Alligator mississippiensis: one gene and its partner. The protein of the gene in region 2 binds, or shares a complex with, the protein of the main gene of each other region. Links are inferred from orthologs where the notes say so. Each region holds a gene or a part of one and is shown on either strand. Other genes may lie near its edges. The genes, in order: SEMA6A and PLXNA2.

Region 1 (7,093 bases), on a different chromosome or scaffold from region 2:
AGGTGAGTAAACTCATCACAGAAGGCGTTCTAGTGCTGTGAGCAGATTTACTCCTGTATTACTCCAGTGAGTCAGGATGGCAGGATCAGGCCCAAAGTAAATACATGCGTGTTAACAGAACTCAAACACTCACCAAAGTTATTTTTACGAACATAAGGTAATAGCTGAAGACACAATTGTGCTCTATATTTAAAGTTGGGTTAATAATTACTATTAGTGCTGGATGATATTAAGCAGAAGTTTTCAGAGTGTGTTTCAAATAATAAGCTACTAAATGAAAAGCAGAGAGGCTTTGGGATGATTCAACTTCCATGTTATGCTATTGTGGTATGTGCCACCACATTTGCGCTTAACAGACCAGCCCCTCCCCCCCTCTAATTAGGATTTGCCTAGTTAATTGACTTCACTATTTCTGCTTTTGTAATAGACTGGATTGGTTTATTAGGTATCCTGACCTGTATAAACACTGTGTATAGCAGCCTGACCTGCATAACACAACTATGTAGGTTGGCAAACTTAAAAACCAGCACTGATCTTAGGAAAGAGGGGAGAGAGAGACAAATCTTAGGAAAGGGGGGAGAGAGGGACAAATCTTAGGAAAGGGGGGGAGAGGGACAAATTGCCTTCAAACCAGCCCTCAAAGATTGACATGAACAGACATGGAAGAAAACCTAGTCATGTACTATACTGCGACTAACCACTGGTGGGAGATCCTGGGGCTCTGGCTCAAGCACAATAAAAACCCTACAGTCTGTGAAAGTTGCCCAGGTTCAGGGCAGGGAAAGCTGCGATTTGCACCCTTCCTCTGCAAGTCAGTCACCATCACTAGCTTTCCGGTCCCCTCTCAAGCAAATAAAAGCGACTGAGGAGCAAAGAGGCAGGGGGAGAAAACAGGCTTTCACACGCACCGATCCCCGGCACCCACGGCAGGTACTTGTTCGCAGCGCAGAGCAAACTTCTAGCAACACCTCCCGGTGTTGCTAGAACGCCCAAAATGGATTCACTGGCCCCGGAGTCACCCAGCCCCTCTCGCCCAGGCTGCTGCATCTGCTCCTGGTAATTGCTTGAAGGAGCCACCAGCTCCCTCCCTCCTCCCCAACCTCCCGGGGGGGGGGGGGGGGTTGTCTCCGTTCTGCTCCACTTCTCCGGTGCACCAGCACGGCAGGAAAAGCAACTCCTGGGGATTTGCAGGCTCCCACTTTGGCTCATGCAAATTCGCAGGCAGAGCACTTAATGCCCATTACTCTCAACTGAGAGGTTTTCACGCTCCTGCACCGCGAATCCCTCCTGTCAGCAGTATCCCCCCGGCCCAGCACGGAGCACCCGCCAGCCAGCCGGGGGGGGTGGTATTGTGTGTGTATGTATGAGTGTGCATGTTGATATTAAGTGTGCGTGTGTGGATATGAAGTGTGCGAGTGTCTGTGTATATTAAGTGTGAATATTGTGCATCTGAGAGTGTGGATGTGAAGCGTGTGTGAATATTGTGTGCGCGCGTATGCATCCATTAAGCGTGTGAGTGCTGCGTGTGGATATGAAGTGTGCGTGAATATTAAGTTACTTTATTGTGTGTGAATATTAAGTAAGGGTGTGAGCACTGTGTATGTGGATATGAGGTGTGTGTGAATCTATGAAGTGTGTATTGTGTGCGTGGATATGAAGTGTGTGTGTGAATATTACGTGCGAATGTTGTGTGTGAATATTAAGTAAGCGCGTGAGTATTGTGTGTGTGGATATTAAGTGTGTGTGTGTGCGCGTGTCCCGGCCCGCACCCCCAGGGCTTCGGTGCCCCCCTCCCCCCCGCACCCGGGCAGGCGGCGCTGGGAGGGAGCAGCAGGCAGACGCCGCATTGTGGCCGCCCTCCCTGGCCCCCACCCCCTTTGGACAAACTTGGCTTTTTTAAATTGTACTTCATTCACTGTAAAGCGAATTCACGGTGGTTTGAATCCCTCCCTTATTCCAAGCGGTGCTTTTTTTCCCCCCAGGGGAGCGGCCCTGGGCTGCCCCCAGGCCCTGGCGAGGGGGCAGAGGAGAATCCTCCCCTCTCCGCCCCTGACAGGACCCAGCTGCCCCTGTACTGAGGGAGCAGCAGCCCTCCCCCCCGGGGGCTGACAGCGCGGGGAGCAGGGGTCAGGGGCAGCACCCGGGCAGGGGCACATGCACACCCCCCCCCCCGCACACACACACGCACACCCCCCCCCGGGTAGGGGAGGCGCCCTCGGGGCCCGCGGGGCGGGGAGGCAGCGGCCCCGCAAACAAAGGCACCGCGCGGAGACAAGGCGGCGGCGGCTGCGGCGGAGGAAGGGGGGAAGGGGTCTCTCTCCCGGCAGAAGTTTCCGCGGTGCCCCGATGCACCCCGAGCCCACCGCAGCGGCAGGGGCGAGGCTCCCACATTGTCCCCGCGCGTGCAACAAAGCCGCTCCCCGCCCATCCGCGGCAGCCGGCAGGCAGGCAGGGCAGGGCGCCCCCAGCCTCCGTCCCGCCGCCCCGGCCCTCCCGCAGCCGCGCCCGGGGCGGTACAGTACCTTTTCCCGGCGCATGTATCTAGCGGCAGCCCGAGGACAGACCTAGCTGCGGGAGTGTCCCATTTAGTAATCCATGCCCGGGGACCGCTCGGGGGACACCGCAGCCGCGCTCGCCGGTGCAATCCTTTGTCATTCCTACATGGGGGCTCCTCGGGGCAAGGCACGGGGCGGGGGCACAGGGCTGCCACAGTCCGAGCTGCCTACTTTCTGCAGCGCCGAGGCAGCGTGCTCATTTCCAGGGGGCGGGGGGAGAAAAAAAAAAGCAATAATAATTGTAATAATAATAATAAAAAAGGTTCGGCAACTCCTCTGCAAACCCAAATTCCACCAGGCTTCCACTCCGGTAAGTCCCCCTCAGTCGCGCCCTAGGAGGCAAGTCATGTCAGGCTGCCACGATGCTGGAGGCTGCTCCAGGGAAAGTTGTGGGAAGCGCAGTTGCTCCTCGCCCCAGAGCTGCTGGTCATTGAGCTGGGCTCGGGAGAGGACTTGGGAGCAAAGCTCTCGCCTGGTGCCTGCCTCCCTCCTCACTGCCGGGCTCCCAACTCCGCTGTCACTGGAAGGCTGCTCGGCGGCGGGGCGGAGCCAAATCCCGGACTGGATCGCGGCATCACCGCACCGCCGCCTTCCCCACTCCCCGCCGGCTACACGCAGCAAGGCCCGGCCCTGCGTGCGCGCGGGACTAGGAGTGCGGGCTGGGGGGCGGGGGGCCGACAGCCGACTGCCCCCCGCCCCCGGGCCCGACACGTGCGGGCAAGGAGATAAGAGAAGTGGTGAGCCGGGGGGATAGTGCGCGACCTGCCTTATCCCTCCCCCCCCAACCTTGTGCCATGCAACGTGTATGCAATCGGGACTGAAACAAGGACGAGAGAAGTCTGGCTTGATCCTTGACTTACACAGATAGAGATCTCGATCTCTATAGATATATATACGTATAGATTTCTATAGATAAATACATGTTGATATAGATATCTATAAATAGATAGCTATAGATATCTATAGATAGATGTATTATATATAGGTACATAGATATCTATAGCTAGATAGATGTATTATACATAGATAGCTATAGATAGATGTATTATATCTATAGATAAATAGATGTATTATATATAGCTATAGATAGATGTATTATATATAGATAGATAAATGGATGCATTATATATAGCTATAGATAGATGTATTATATACATATCTATAGATAGGTAGATTTATTATACAATATATAGATATATAGATACCTATTGATATCGATAGAGATGTATTCTACATAGATATAGCTATATAGATAGATATCTATAGAGCTAGAGAGATGTATTATAGATAGATATCTATAGAGAGAGAGATATTACAGATAGATATATATAGATAGTTATCTATAGACAGAGATGTATTATAGATATATTATAAATATATAGATATCTATAGAGATATAGAGATGTATTATAGATAGATACTGGTATAGGTATAGGTATCAGGGGAAAAAGAGAGGCGAGGCAGGAGCACTCCGGGAGATGAGATGCAAGGAAGGATTTGCTCATCGATTTTCTTAAATGGAAAAGTTTTAAAGGATGAGGGGAAGTGAACTGTGAAGACTTTTCTAATGCCGAGGAACCGTTGCAGGGCTCCAGCCCTCGGGCAGGGACGAGCATCCCGCGAGGTGCCCGCCAGGTACGTGTGTGAGCGCGGGGGGAGGCTTCTTGCACTAGCAGGCGGCAGAGGAGCACAGATCTGCTGGCCTCGGGAGCCAGACACCAGCCGCCCTGCTGCGGGAGGGAGCCTGCCCGGCACGTTTGGCAGTGTTGCATTCATCTGCCCTAAGAGATTTGGTATTTAAACGCTCTTGCCGGGCAATGAATTGGGTGCCAATAAAAATAAATCAGCAGGATCCCAGCGGGCTCACGGGCTTAGCTGTGTGGTTTGTTCGGAACAGGTGCACGGCGAGGGAAGAAACAGCCCATTCTTAGGAACCTCCAGATGCCAAGGCACCGCCCTCCTCTCTGTTAAAAATACTTTCCAAGCAAACTTGCCCAAGGCCAACAAGTCCTTACTCCTTCCCCTCCCCAAGGCATATTCTTATTCCTATTCCCCCTGTGGATCCTTATGACTACATCAGGCTCACACTGATGCAACCCGCAGTACCGAAAGGCTGGCAAGTGCAACGTTACACCATGGCCATCGCTCCGGATCCACCCCAGTGCGCCTCGAAAAGTAGCAACGCTCCCTTTGAAACAGGGCGAGGATAGACAGCAAAGGGGAGAGAGGCTGCGAAAGAGCAGGAAGAGACACTTGTGTATCGCAGATCGGGGAGGGGGGTTAAAGCTCCGAAGATAACAATGAACAAACTGTCTGATGACGATAAAAGCAAAGCTGCAGCCTCTCAGGTGGTCTAAATTGGTCCCTCGGAAAGCCAAGTGCCTCGGCGGCGCCCAGAGAGCACAGGCGTGTGCTGCGAGTACTGTGCATCTGCATACGATGATATTAATAATAATAACATGCACGCGCACCGTCTCCGGCTTAGCAGCTTTGCTCCTCCGGGTGGAGGGGTGGAGAAAAGCCGGCTCGGCTCTCTCTCGCTGTTTGCCCCGCGGGCCAGAAGGGGCCGCTGCCCCAATTTCCTTGGCAAACAATGCAAGAATTGATGAAACTTGCGAAGTTGGCGCCCGCTCCCGCAGAAGGCAAAGGCGAAACTCCCGCTGACTTCAGCTGCCCCGGGGTCGGGGCCACCCAGCGCGCGCGCCTTCCCCCCTCCCGGCCTGCCTGCGGGAGCTGCGCGGACCTACCTTCCTTCCTACCTACCTACCCACCCCCGCGCGTCTGTCTGCGGCCAATTGGCGCGGCAAAACAAAGCGCTTTGCGGGGCGACGTCAGACCCGCGTTCGCCCGCTACCGCGCCTAAGCAGAGCGCAGCCATCGGGGAGGGCCGGCTGCTCCTCCGCGGCCGATTAGCTCTCAGCCTGCCTTTTCTGTTTTGTTTTGTTTCCTTCCCCCCCATCCCAGTTTGATAGCTGCCTGCAGGGCTAATCCGCCCCTGTCTCCGAGCCAAGCAGCCCCGAGAGGGACAGGAGCAGCGCTAATAAATTAATCCTTCTGCTTCCCAACCCCCTCGGCCAGGAGCTCTGCCGCTGCCGCTGCCTCTCCTAATCCTCGCGCCTCCCTCGGCAGCCGCACCAGCGCCTCCGCCGAGACAGGTAGTGCAGCCTGGCTCCTGCCTCTTGCATTTCTCCAGTAGGAGCAGAGGCGGCAGCAGCCTTAGCGCCGCTGATTTACATGTTAATTGTGTCTGGGGAAAAAAAAAGAACCCCAAAAACTTCTTTAATTGCCAGAATGAGGCAGAGCAAACGCGTTGTTTCACCGGCTGAACCAAATTAATTCCGGGTTTAGCTCCTTCCCGGGGAGAAACAAACAATTAAGCTGTCTTGTTTGCTGTAATGGATCTATTTGGCATGTGCTGCACGTTGCGGGGCTGGAGAAGGCTGGGTGGGGTTGGCCTGGGCATGCTGCTTTTGTCTTCATCTTTGGGGGGTTTATTTTGCAGGGGGGCGAAGATGGGAGAGAGACGATTTCCGACGAGCTACAAGCCGAGCAGCGAGGCGTCGCTTTGCATTTCTTTCCCTTTTTAAAACAGCTGATCCCTAAAGAAAGACAGAGGTGAAGACAAGGGAGTGCCCGCCTCTGATTTTTTCCCCCCAAATCCCATCCAGTTCAATAGCTATCACTGAAACCGGCTTGGATTTCGAGAATGAAATGGAAGTGTGGTCGGAGCCACGTGTAAATCCGCTCCCTTGCATATTTTGGATTTGTTCAGGGCAGCAGGAGAGGGAGAGGCAGGGAAGAAGGTGGGGAGGGGAGAGAGGGATGGAGGGGAAGAATGCATAAAAAAACCCCAAACCCTCCCAGAAAAGCCTACTCCTTGTGACTGCTACAGCTGAAACACCTGGGGTGTCCACGATGAAAATCTGAAACTCACTCAGGATGGAGGTTCAAAGCTCCCACTCCCACCACTTTAGGTTTCCAGTATGAAACAAAGCACCACTTGGAATAAGGGAGGGATTCAAACCACCATAAATTCCCTTTACAGTGAATGAAGTGCAATTCAGTGCAGCACATGGAGGCTTCTCAATGATCTTAATTCTGGGTATAAAACATAACCTTTAAAGTCCTGGGAAGGTGCTAAACTATAACCTGAATTCATTTAGGACAATGTGAGACCATCTCCCCCCTCTTGATTGAACTAGTGTGCAAGTGTTTCCTAACAGTACATTTACTGTATCTCTGCTACATGAATAGCTTCACAGCTTTGTGTTGTTCCTTCTGTTCAACAATCATTCCACTGTACTACATTGGTTCCTTAGTCCCATTCACTTTTTATATCAAATTATTGTTTGGGAAATTAAAAAAATACTGGAACAGATTAAGATAGAACAGTGATTAAGTAGATCTGTGATTTTTTTTAAATAGTCCTGCACGTTTGCAATCTTCAGTTGTGTGGAATCAGGGTCTATAATCTTCAATAGAAATTTATTTCCACATTCCAGTTTTTAATTGCCCCATGTTACAATGACAGTCTCAAA
Region 2 (7,830 bases):
GCTTGATGAGGGCAGGGTTTGAACCAATGCGTGCAAGTGCATGGGAAAGAGTGGGTGAGCATTGCTTAACCCATCCTGGCTGAACAAAGATACCTCTACAAAGCAAATTTAGAGCGTATTGTGCCAGTACCAAGAAGCAGGTATGGCATCTCCTCTTGAATCGCCCATCCGCACGCACCATGCAGCATCTAGGCATCGTCTTCCACTTCTAACCATGACTTACGCAGCCTGCTGGCTCAGCTCTTGCATGAGCGTATCAATGCTGAAACCTTCCCCAGACATTGGATCAATCCCAGGAGACACATCCAAGGCTCCAGGCTCAAACTGCATCAAAAAAGTTTCCAGAGCCAGCTCTGGATATCCCCAAAGCACTAAAGCTCTTGGGAGACAGTCAACGGGAGACTTCAGGCAGATCCTGCAAGTCGAGACACCACAGCGTCTACACCACGAACTGCTCCAAATGTCATTTCCATTTAGCTGCTTTGCAAGCCAATTTGTCACGTCCTAATGCAATTTGCTGAAGAGAGTTAAAGAGCACAGGGCAGGAGGAGTCATCCTTTCTTCAGCATCATATACCCAGGTGGAGAGTGCTTGGGGTCTTTAGGGGTTTTAATATCTAGCTGTATTTCAGAAAGTTCAGTTTCATTCAACAGCTGAGGGGCCAGGGACAGCTCAGGGTTAACTGGGAGAGCAAAACAGAGTGCAAGGAAAGCACTGGGAGCCGCTATTTCTATCAGATCCGTGGGTTCGCAAACGCATCTGTTACCTGTCTCCACTGCACAAACTTGTTATAAGCCAGGGGGAAACTCTGCAAATAATTAGATCAAATACAGCTATAAAGGCAATGAAGAGTAAATTGGGTTGCTTCATCTTCCTGCAACGAGCACGGCAGAGGAGAGAAGAGCAAGGTGTCTGCGTTTGCTTGCACGAGCCATTTTACAAGAGAAACCAGACATACAAGTGACTCTTGGGCTGGACCGTGCTTCCAAAGTCAAGGTGACTCTGCTCAGATCCTAGAAGCACTCCTAACTATTGTATTTAAGGCCTTATGGTTTATAAGCCGAGACTGAAAGAGCATCTGGCAAAAGGCAGCAACATAGGACACACTTTTTATTTTATTTTTTTAACCAAGGCAAATATCTCCACATTGGGAAAATATAAGCATCAATTCTGAAGAGGGCACAAAGGCATCAGTCATTCTGCGGTGGAAGTAGGTCATTTGACTGAACTTTTAGAGATATTGATATCACCGAGGCCGTCCGGCACATGAAAGCAGACAGCCTGCCTCCCAAAACTCAGTCAGGGTCCATCAAACAGATTCATCCTACTAGTGAAATGTCAAGTGGTAGACAAGTAACGAGGAGGAAACCCTCCTAGAAACAGGATTGCATAGCACGGTACCCTACGAACATTGCATCCTTGCTTGCTGCTGAGCCAGTATCCTGAACACAGATCACGGAGGCATGATTTTTTCCCCCTCTATCGCTCCTTAACCCCCCTGCTTTCCCTTAACGTTAACCTACTGACTTTCAGATGCTGCTTAAAACAGTGATTCAATGAACATCATACATCCTGCCTTCAAGACCATGAAGTACTGGCACAGCTTGCACAGAGAAAAGGCTGGTGTTTGACTATACCAGGTGAAACCGGGGGCCGGATGAAGAGAGGACAGTGCGGCCCCTCACTGTACGTATAGACAAGCCGCTGTTATGATCGACACGCATGTAGCATCCAAGCAACTTTAGGGTTTGATGAGGCTGGAAACAGTCCCTGGGACCTAGGAATTTTTTCAGAAAAGCATGCACAGATCCCCCCTTCCCTTTCCCAGCTTCTGGAAAGGGATCTTGCAGGATCTGGGACCTTCACAGTAGGGATATTATTTTTTCCAGGAATCCTGAGTGCTGGCAAAACAAAAGTCTCTCCTGGCCAGTGGCAACTTTTGAGGGGTTTTGTTCCCTTATGACGCACTGCCTTTCCCCAGTCCAGGACTGAATGGTAGGGAATGCAGTCACTTGGATTTAGGAAGGAATAAAACATATTGACAGCAGAACTACACTAAGGGGACAAAATAACAGGATGCCCAAACTGGATTGGGAAGGGTGGGGAGGGGGACAGACAGAGGGGAGCCTCACGGGACTTGCATTATCGGTTGAGATTTAGCTAGCAAATTAGGAAACCCCTCAGGATGATGCTCCCAAATCCAGCCACTTCCAAGTGAAGACAAACATGCTCCTACAGCTTCCAGCCTCAGCCAGAAAACAACCTGGATGCATGCATGCACCCCCCAAAGCCCATCCCCAAGGACGTGGTGGGGGTCTTTCCCCGAGGGCACCTGGCGAGACTCCCCCTTTGGCAGGGGGGAGAGCGCCAAAGCCGCGGCGCTGGGAAAGGATATTTGGGGGCTCCCTTCATGCAGAATAAGAGGGGGCAGGTGCTGGCTGGAGGCACCCCCGCCTTTGCCCACCCCGGCTGGGTGGCTTACTTACCAGACCTAAAGATCCTCTTCCGTCTGTCTCCTTGGGGGCTCTCTGCTTTCTCCCCCCACCCCTCCACCTCCTTGGATTTACGGAGAGGTAATCCAGTCCGACCCTGAATTCATTGAAATCCACCGCAAGTCACCAGCTACTTATCTGTATTCCTAAAGTCTCTCTGCTCTTCCTTGGAACGGCTCCTCCAGGCAGTCAGTCAGTCATTCCTCTGAAGCCCCTGTGCGGCTGGCTAGCCAATTATTCTTATTCTTTTTAAGGGTCCTTATTGCTAGGATTCGCCCACCTAGACTTCTCCCCTACCCTCCCTGACATCAGCCATCCCGGGCTTCCTTTGCTTTTTTTTAATTTTAATTTTTTTTTAATTTTTTTTTTTTTTTACAGTCCCATTTCCTTCACAGATCTGTTTTTTCCTCTCTCTCTCTGTGTCTCTCCCTCGCTCTCTCTTTCTACCAGCTGAATTTCACAGTAACTGTGCACTCCTTCTCCCGGCTCTAGGCTGGCACTGGAAGCTCATCCCCCCATCAGCAGCAGTCTGACTGCTAAAGCCTGCCTCCCTGTATTACCATGTAGCTCATTAACATACAGTCACTGGGGGTTAACTCTTCCGCAGCCGCCAGCTCCAAACCGCAGGCCTTCGCCAGTGCCCAATGCTGGACCCTTGCATTTCTCTCTCCGGTGACGTGCAAGGAAAGCGGCTCAAGGGATGCAGGTGCAAGCTAGAGACCTCCATTGACACTTGTTCCCCAAGAACCTGCTGAGCCGGACCAGCCACCCGCAAACTACCTTAAAGGTAAAACTCCAGCAAAGCACAAGGATTCAGAGGCAGGGCTGGGAAATGGGGGCTGACACATGGGTGCTGCCCACTCAGCCTGGTTTGCAAAGAGAAATGGAAAGGTGGGGATACCGCCACCACACCCCTGCCTACCTGCTCCCTGCTGCCCCTCACCAGGCTTTGGGAGGCTTCCCCGACAGGGATCCTCTATGCACCCGACATTGCTTTTGCCTTTTATTTTATATGCATGCGGACACATGGACAGAAATACAAACTCAGTGAAAAATAGATTCATAGGTGTTAGGGTAGGAAGGGACCTCAATAGATCATCGAGTCTGACCCCCTGCATAGGCAGGAAAGAGTGCTGGGTCTAGATGACCCCAGCTAGATGCATATCCAACCTCCTCTTGAAGACCCCCAGGAGGTCTTGTATGTTAATGAGCTACAGGGTCAAGGGGACCCTGGGGGTCCTCTTGAAGACCCCCAGGGTCTTCAGTAGGAACCGTTGCAGTTTTAAGGCAGCTCCCGTGTTAGGGCATCCATTTCCTGACCTGGCTACTAGCTAGTCATCTGGTTACTACCCACATGGGTTGGATTTGAAATGCTGAGAAAGGCTCCACAACCCATTACTCACCCTCTGAGCCATCCAGCACCTCCTAGTTACACACGTGCATGTTGCATTGCACAACAGGAGTGAAGAAATACAGGCCTGTGCTGCAGCCGTCATGCAAGGGATCTGAATCGGGCCACCTGGGTTCTCGTCTCAGCTGCTGCCACCCGCTTCCTATGTGAACCTGGACAAGTCACAACCCCGGCTCCTTGCTACACCTTTTCTCCCTCAGCGCAGCAAGAGGGAAAGGAGTTTTATGCAGCATTTGCATTCCCAGTACCTGGGTTGTGCTCCTGTCTCAGGGCACTGGTTCAGAGCCCCTGGGGGGTGGTTTCTGCACCTTGTACGCTCCTGGATGAATTAAAGGGGATGACTACACCTAATGATTGTGCTTGGGAAATTCCACTTCACAGGTCTGACTTGAGAAGCAACTGGATTGGGTTCAGACCCTTGCGCCACAAGGCAACGTGCAAGTCCAGTTGCAACTGGATTGGGTTCAGACCCTTGCGCCACAAGGCAACGTGCAAGTCCAGATGCAACTGGATTGGGTTCGGACCCTTGCGCCACAAGGCAACGTGCAAGTCCAGATTCCTACTGGGAAGAGTAAACACAGACTGCAAGCAGCCCAGGGTCTACCATCCACATCCAACTCAACAGGTCAGAGGACTAGGAGCCGATCGCAGACCGTCCCAACCCAAACCGTGCACCTGATGCAACACTTTCAGAGTGGATGAGCAACTGGGATTCCCACCTAAAAACTTCAGGCGCACCACAGCATACACGTCAGAGGACCAGACTGTAGAAGCAGAAGATCCTGCCCCCCATCAGACCAGCTGAAGAAGGGGCTCTAGCCAAGTGGTGATATGTCAGCGAGTTGCTGGTTGCCAAAAGGGCTTTGAAGCCTTGTGGTTACACCGTGTTATGTTGGGGTATGTCTCTGGGACACGCAAGAGAGCACAAGTGGGGTAATATTTAAAACAGCAAGCCACTCTAGAGACTGACATGCTTTAAATAAAGCCAGGTCATCTGATTCAGATAATGTTCCCATCCCCAGAGAGGCTCAGAGGAGCTGCAAAACAAATTATAAAATAAAGAGGGAACCATACGTACGGGAACAGCTGAGACTTGCAATCAACTCGGCTGCCCTGAGGAGATAGCAGACAGACCACACCGCTGCTTATGTGGCTTCTCCATTCTTCCATATGGAGCTCCTGAACAATGCTCCTCTACCCTGAAGTGGGTGCAGGTGCTGAAAGCTGCTTTGGATATAGCAGAGGCAGGCTCACATGACTAGCTGGCTCTAAAAGCTGTAGCCACACAGACGTGCACTCCAAAGCAGCACAGCTTCTTCAGGAGCAATGGAGAAGTAAGATCCTGACTGTCCCTGGACAGGAGATTCCAGTCTTTACTTCCCAACCTCTCCAGCAAAAGCTTTAATCAAGGCATCTTGTCCCTAAACTAACACACCTACAGCCCTTAATCACGGCACACCGCTCACCGGGTATGCAGGAATAGTCAGGGGAAGAGATTAACTCTACTGAGGAGGCTCCCCAGCTGTCCCCTGCCCACAGCTCACATGCCTGCAGCTAACTAAAACCATTTGGGGGAAGGAAATAAATATCTCTTCCCTGAAGTCTCCAAGCCTCTCGAGGAGGAGAGACTCAGCGATGCACCGGAAAGGTCCTTTCCCTTGGCAGCACACTAGGCAGGTGCTCAGCAGGTTGCTGCTTGCCCTCTTTGGTCCCGGCTGCTTTTTCCCTTTGCAGGAGTGCATGTTTGAGAAGGGTAGAAAGGAGATAAATTAAGCCCATGAGCTCATTCCTATTGCTCACAGGTAGTTTAAAGGTATTTCTCCCCTCGAGGGGACTACAACAGACAAGAAATCAATAGTCTCCCCAGGGAGAAAGCCACCCTGTAGGCAGTGAATACACCTCTCTAAGAGGAGATGTTCCCTGTCGCTCAGGAAAGGATTTCCTTGTTTAAACATGTTCCCTACAATTTTCCAGCATGAGGCACTGGCCCAGCTCAGGCCTCGCTCCTCTTCCCCTCAACTGCTTCACTCATAGCTAGATTGAGTCTGAGACTGGGGATATTTCGGCACCTGGAAAGGCTATCTACAACGCAGCTATTCAGCTTGGGACAGGGACACGAGGCTGCTCCATGCACACAGCGAGCTCTGCTCTTTCATTATTCTGCCCCCGCTACATTTGCTGCGTCTTGCATTCACAGCAAATGCCACTAAATCCCATTACAAATACCAGCCTTGGCTAAACGCACGTCCCACTAATGCAATTTCTCTTTTCGTGGGAAGTCGTACAAGGCGGGTCGGAGCATCTTAATTGCTCTCTCCTCTTGGCTGGACTGTCGGCATCCTGCATTCTGGTTATTATTTATTGATGGCCAATTGTTGTCAAGATGGAGAGTCTCTCTCTGGCTAATTACAGGATTGCTGAGCTAGGGGAGCAGCCCAAAAGGGCAGCAGAGGAGGTCACACATATGATGCAGGTGAGGAGCACGGGTCTTTTCCAAGCTGTGCACAAGAGCAAAAAGGCACCAGCCAGGATTCACCTGGGGTACTGATGCCAGTGAGTGTGAGCTGATGAATGATGTGTTTGCCTAGCCACTTCTCTGGCCATGCAGGATTTAGGCAACAGCAGCCTCATACCCAAGCCAACTATAGGTAAAAATCCTTGTCTAAAGTTGTGTTAACCCATGCCCAAGACCTGTGACAATAGTAGTACCTGGAAATTACAGGAAGCCTTTTTGCAACTGGAAGCATACAGCAGGCCTTCACCATAAGTATTTATCACTAGGAGGAGAACACGCGTTTGTGGTACACTCATATTACACACACACACACACACACACGTAGTGTGTATGTACTTGCACGTGCATTCAAGAGGTGTGTGCATGTGGCCTATTTGGGTCTGATGCCAGCATCTTGCAAGGATGTACTTGTTAGGCCATGTCAGTGTTTGATGCGGTGTTTGTGTCTTCCATGCAGGTCTCATTTGTGTCCTCCATCCTGTGGCTCTGTTTTGTCCACGTGCTGCTGTGTGCTAGTACTGGGCATATTTGTTCCTAGGCATATGTGTTTGTGTATGTGTGTACTAGGCTTCGGGCATCTTGTCACTTTATTTTGAAAATATGCCTCCATGTCTCCTTCTTGCATTTGTGGAGCATTTGGTGCATTGCTGCCTCTTTGTTATATGCACAGATCCATAGTTGTGAAGCTTGCGTGTGCAAGCTGTCCGTGTCCGTGCTTTCTGGGCACGCCGGGCCAGTGTTCTGCATACAGGTTTAGATGTGCATCTACTTCTTTTGTGAACGTATATTTGCTTGTGCAGTCTGTTCTGCAGGCATATACTAAGGGAAAACCGAGGGCGCTGCACAGCATGGCCTCCCTCTCACCAGTCTTGCACCATGAGCTGATGGCAACCTGCTCGACAGCCATGCGGACATGGGTGCCCAGTGCCTACATGGGAACTACATCTCACTTTGCAACCAGCTGCCCTCAGCACGGTGGTAACCACCAGCAGAAAATTCTGGTGCAAGTCACTCCGGATAATTTACCGGCCAAATGATAGCGAACAGAGAACATAAAGATGCCCTGAGAAACAGAAAGCTGTTTGCGTAGGGAACAAAACTGGGCAGGACCCACATAAAAAGAGCCATGGAGCCGTAATTTATGACGGCGTCTCCCCCCACAGCTTTGTGGGAAGCTGACATCCTGGGGCATTCGAAACAGAAGCTTGACTCATCCTGCTACAAATCAAACAGGACAGTCGTGGAGTCCTTTATTGCTCCCCACAACCCCTTGGCTGCCCCTTCCCCTCCTCGGAGAGCATCCCCCTTGGGGCATGCCATTCTGCTGCACCTGGCAATGGCAGCCCCGAGGCCCCGCGTCGATACGGGTCCCGAGATGCCATTTATGCCCGAGAGTAACTGAGCACGAGGGA

The links.
Region 1: the proteins of PLXNA2 (region 2) and SEMA6A are in contact, whole or in part, in a crystal structure (PDB 3AL8), measured with the Mus musculus proteins. The link is inferred for Alligator mississippiensis from reciprocal best matches to the Homo sapiens genes PLXNA2 and SEMA6A. Residues at the interface, in NP_032908.2 of Mus musculus: Ala93, Cys94, Tyr95, Pro96, Lys155, Gln192, Asp193, Tyr194, Asp220, Phe221, Val222, Pro229, Ser230, Asp231, Leu386, Lys389, Val391, Thr394, Lys395, Ala396, Pro397, Val398, Leu407, Asp408, Ile409, Asn410, Gln411; in NP_061214.2 of Mus musculus: Arg108, Met109, Lys110, Gly111, Met162, Ala163, Thr188, Phe190, Leu191, Ile193, Tyr198, Thr206, Arg208, His212, Asp213, Ser214, Glu219, Gln266, Arg267, Glu270, Lys271, Lys393.

The regions. Positions count from the first base shown.
Region 1 is NC_081826.1:224,334,377-224,341,469, reverse strand, and holds the start of SEMA6A (semaphorin-6A), read right to left. Parts: upstream 3,079-7,093; 5' UTR 2,523-3,078; intron 1-2,522. UniProt on the Homo sapiens protein: Cell surface receptor for PLXNA2 that plays an important role in cell-cell signaling. Required for normal granule cell migration in the developing cerebellum.
Region 2 is NC_081837.1:43,019,784-43,027,613, forward strand, and holds the start of PLXNA2 (plexin-A2), read right to left. Parts: upstream 3,030-7,830; 5' UTR 2,487-3,029; intron 1-2,486. UniProt on the Homo sapiens protein: Coreceptor for SEMA3A and SEMA6A. Necessary for signaling by SEMA6A and class 3 semaphorins and subsequent remodeling of the cytoskeleton. Plays a role in axon guidance, invasive growth and cell migration.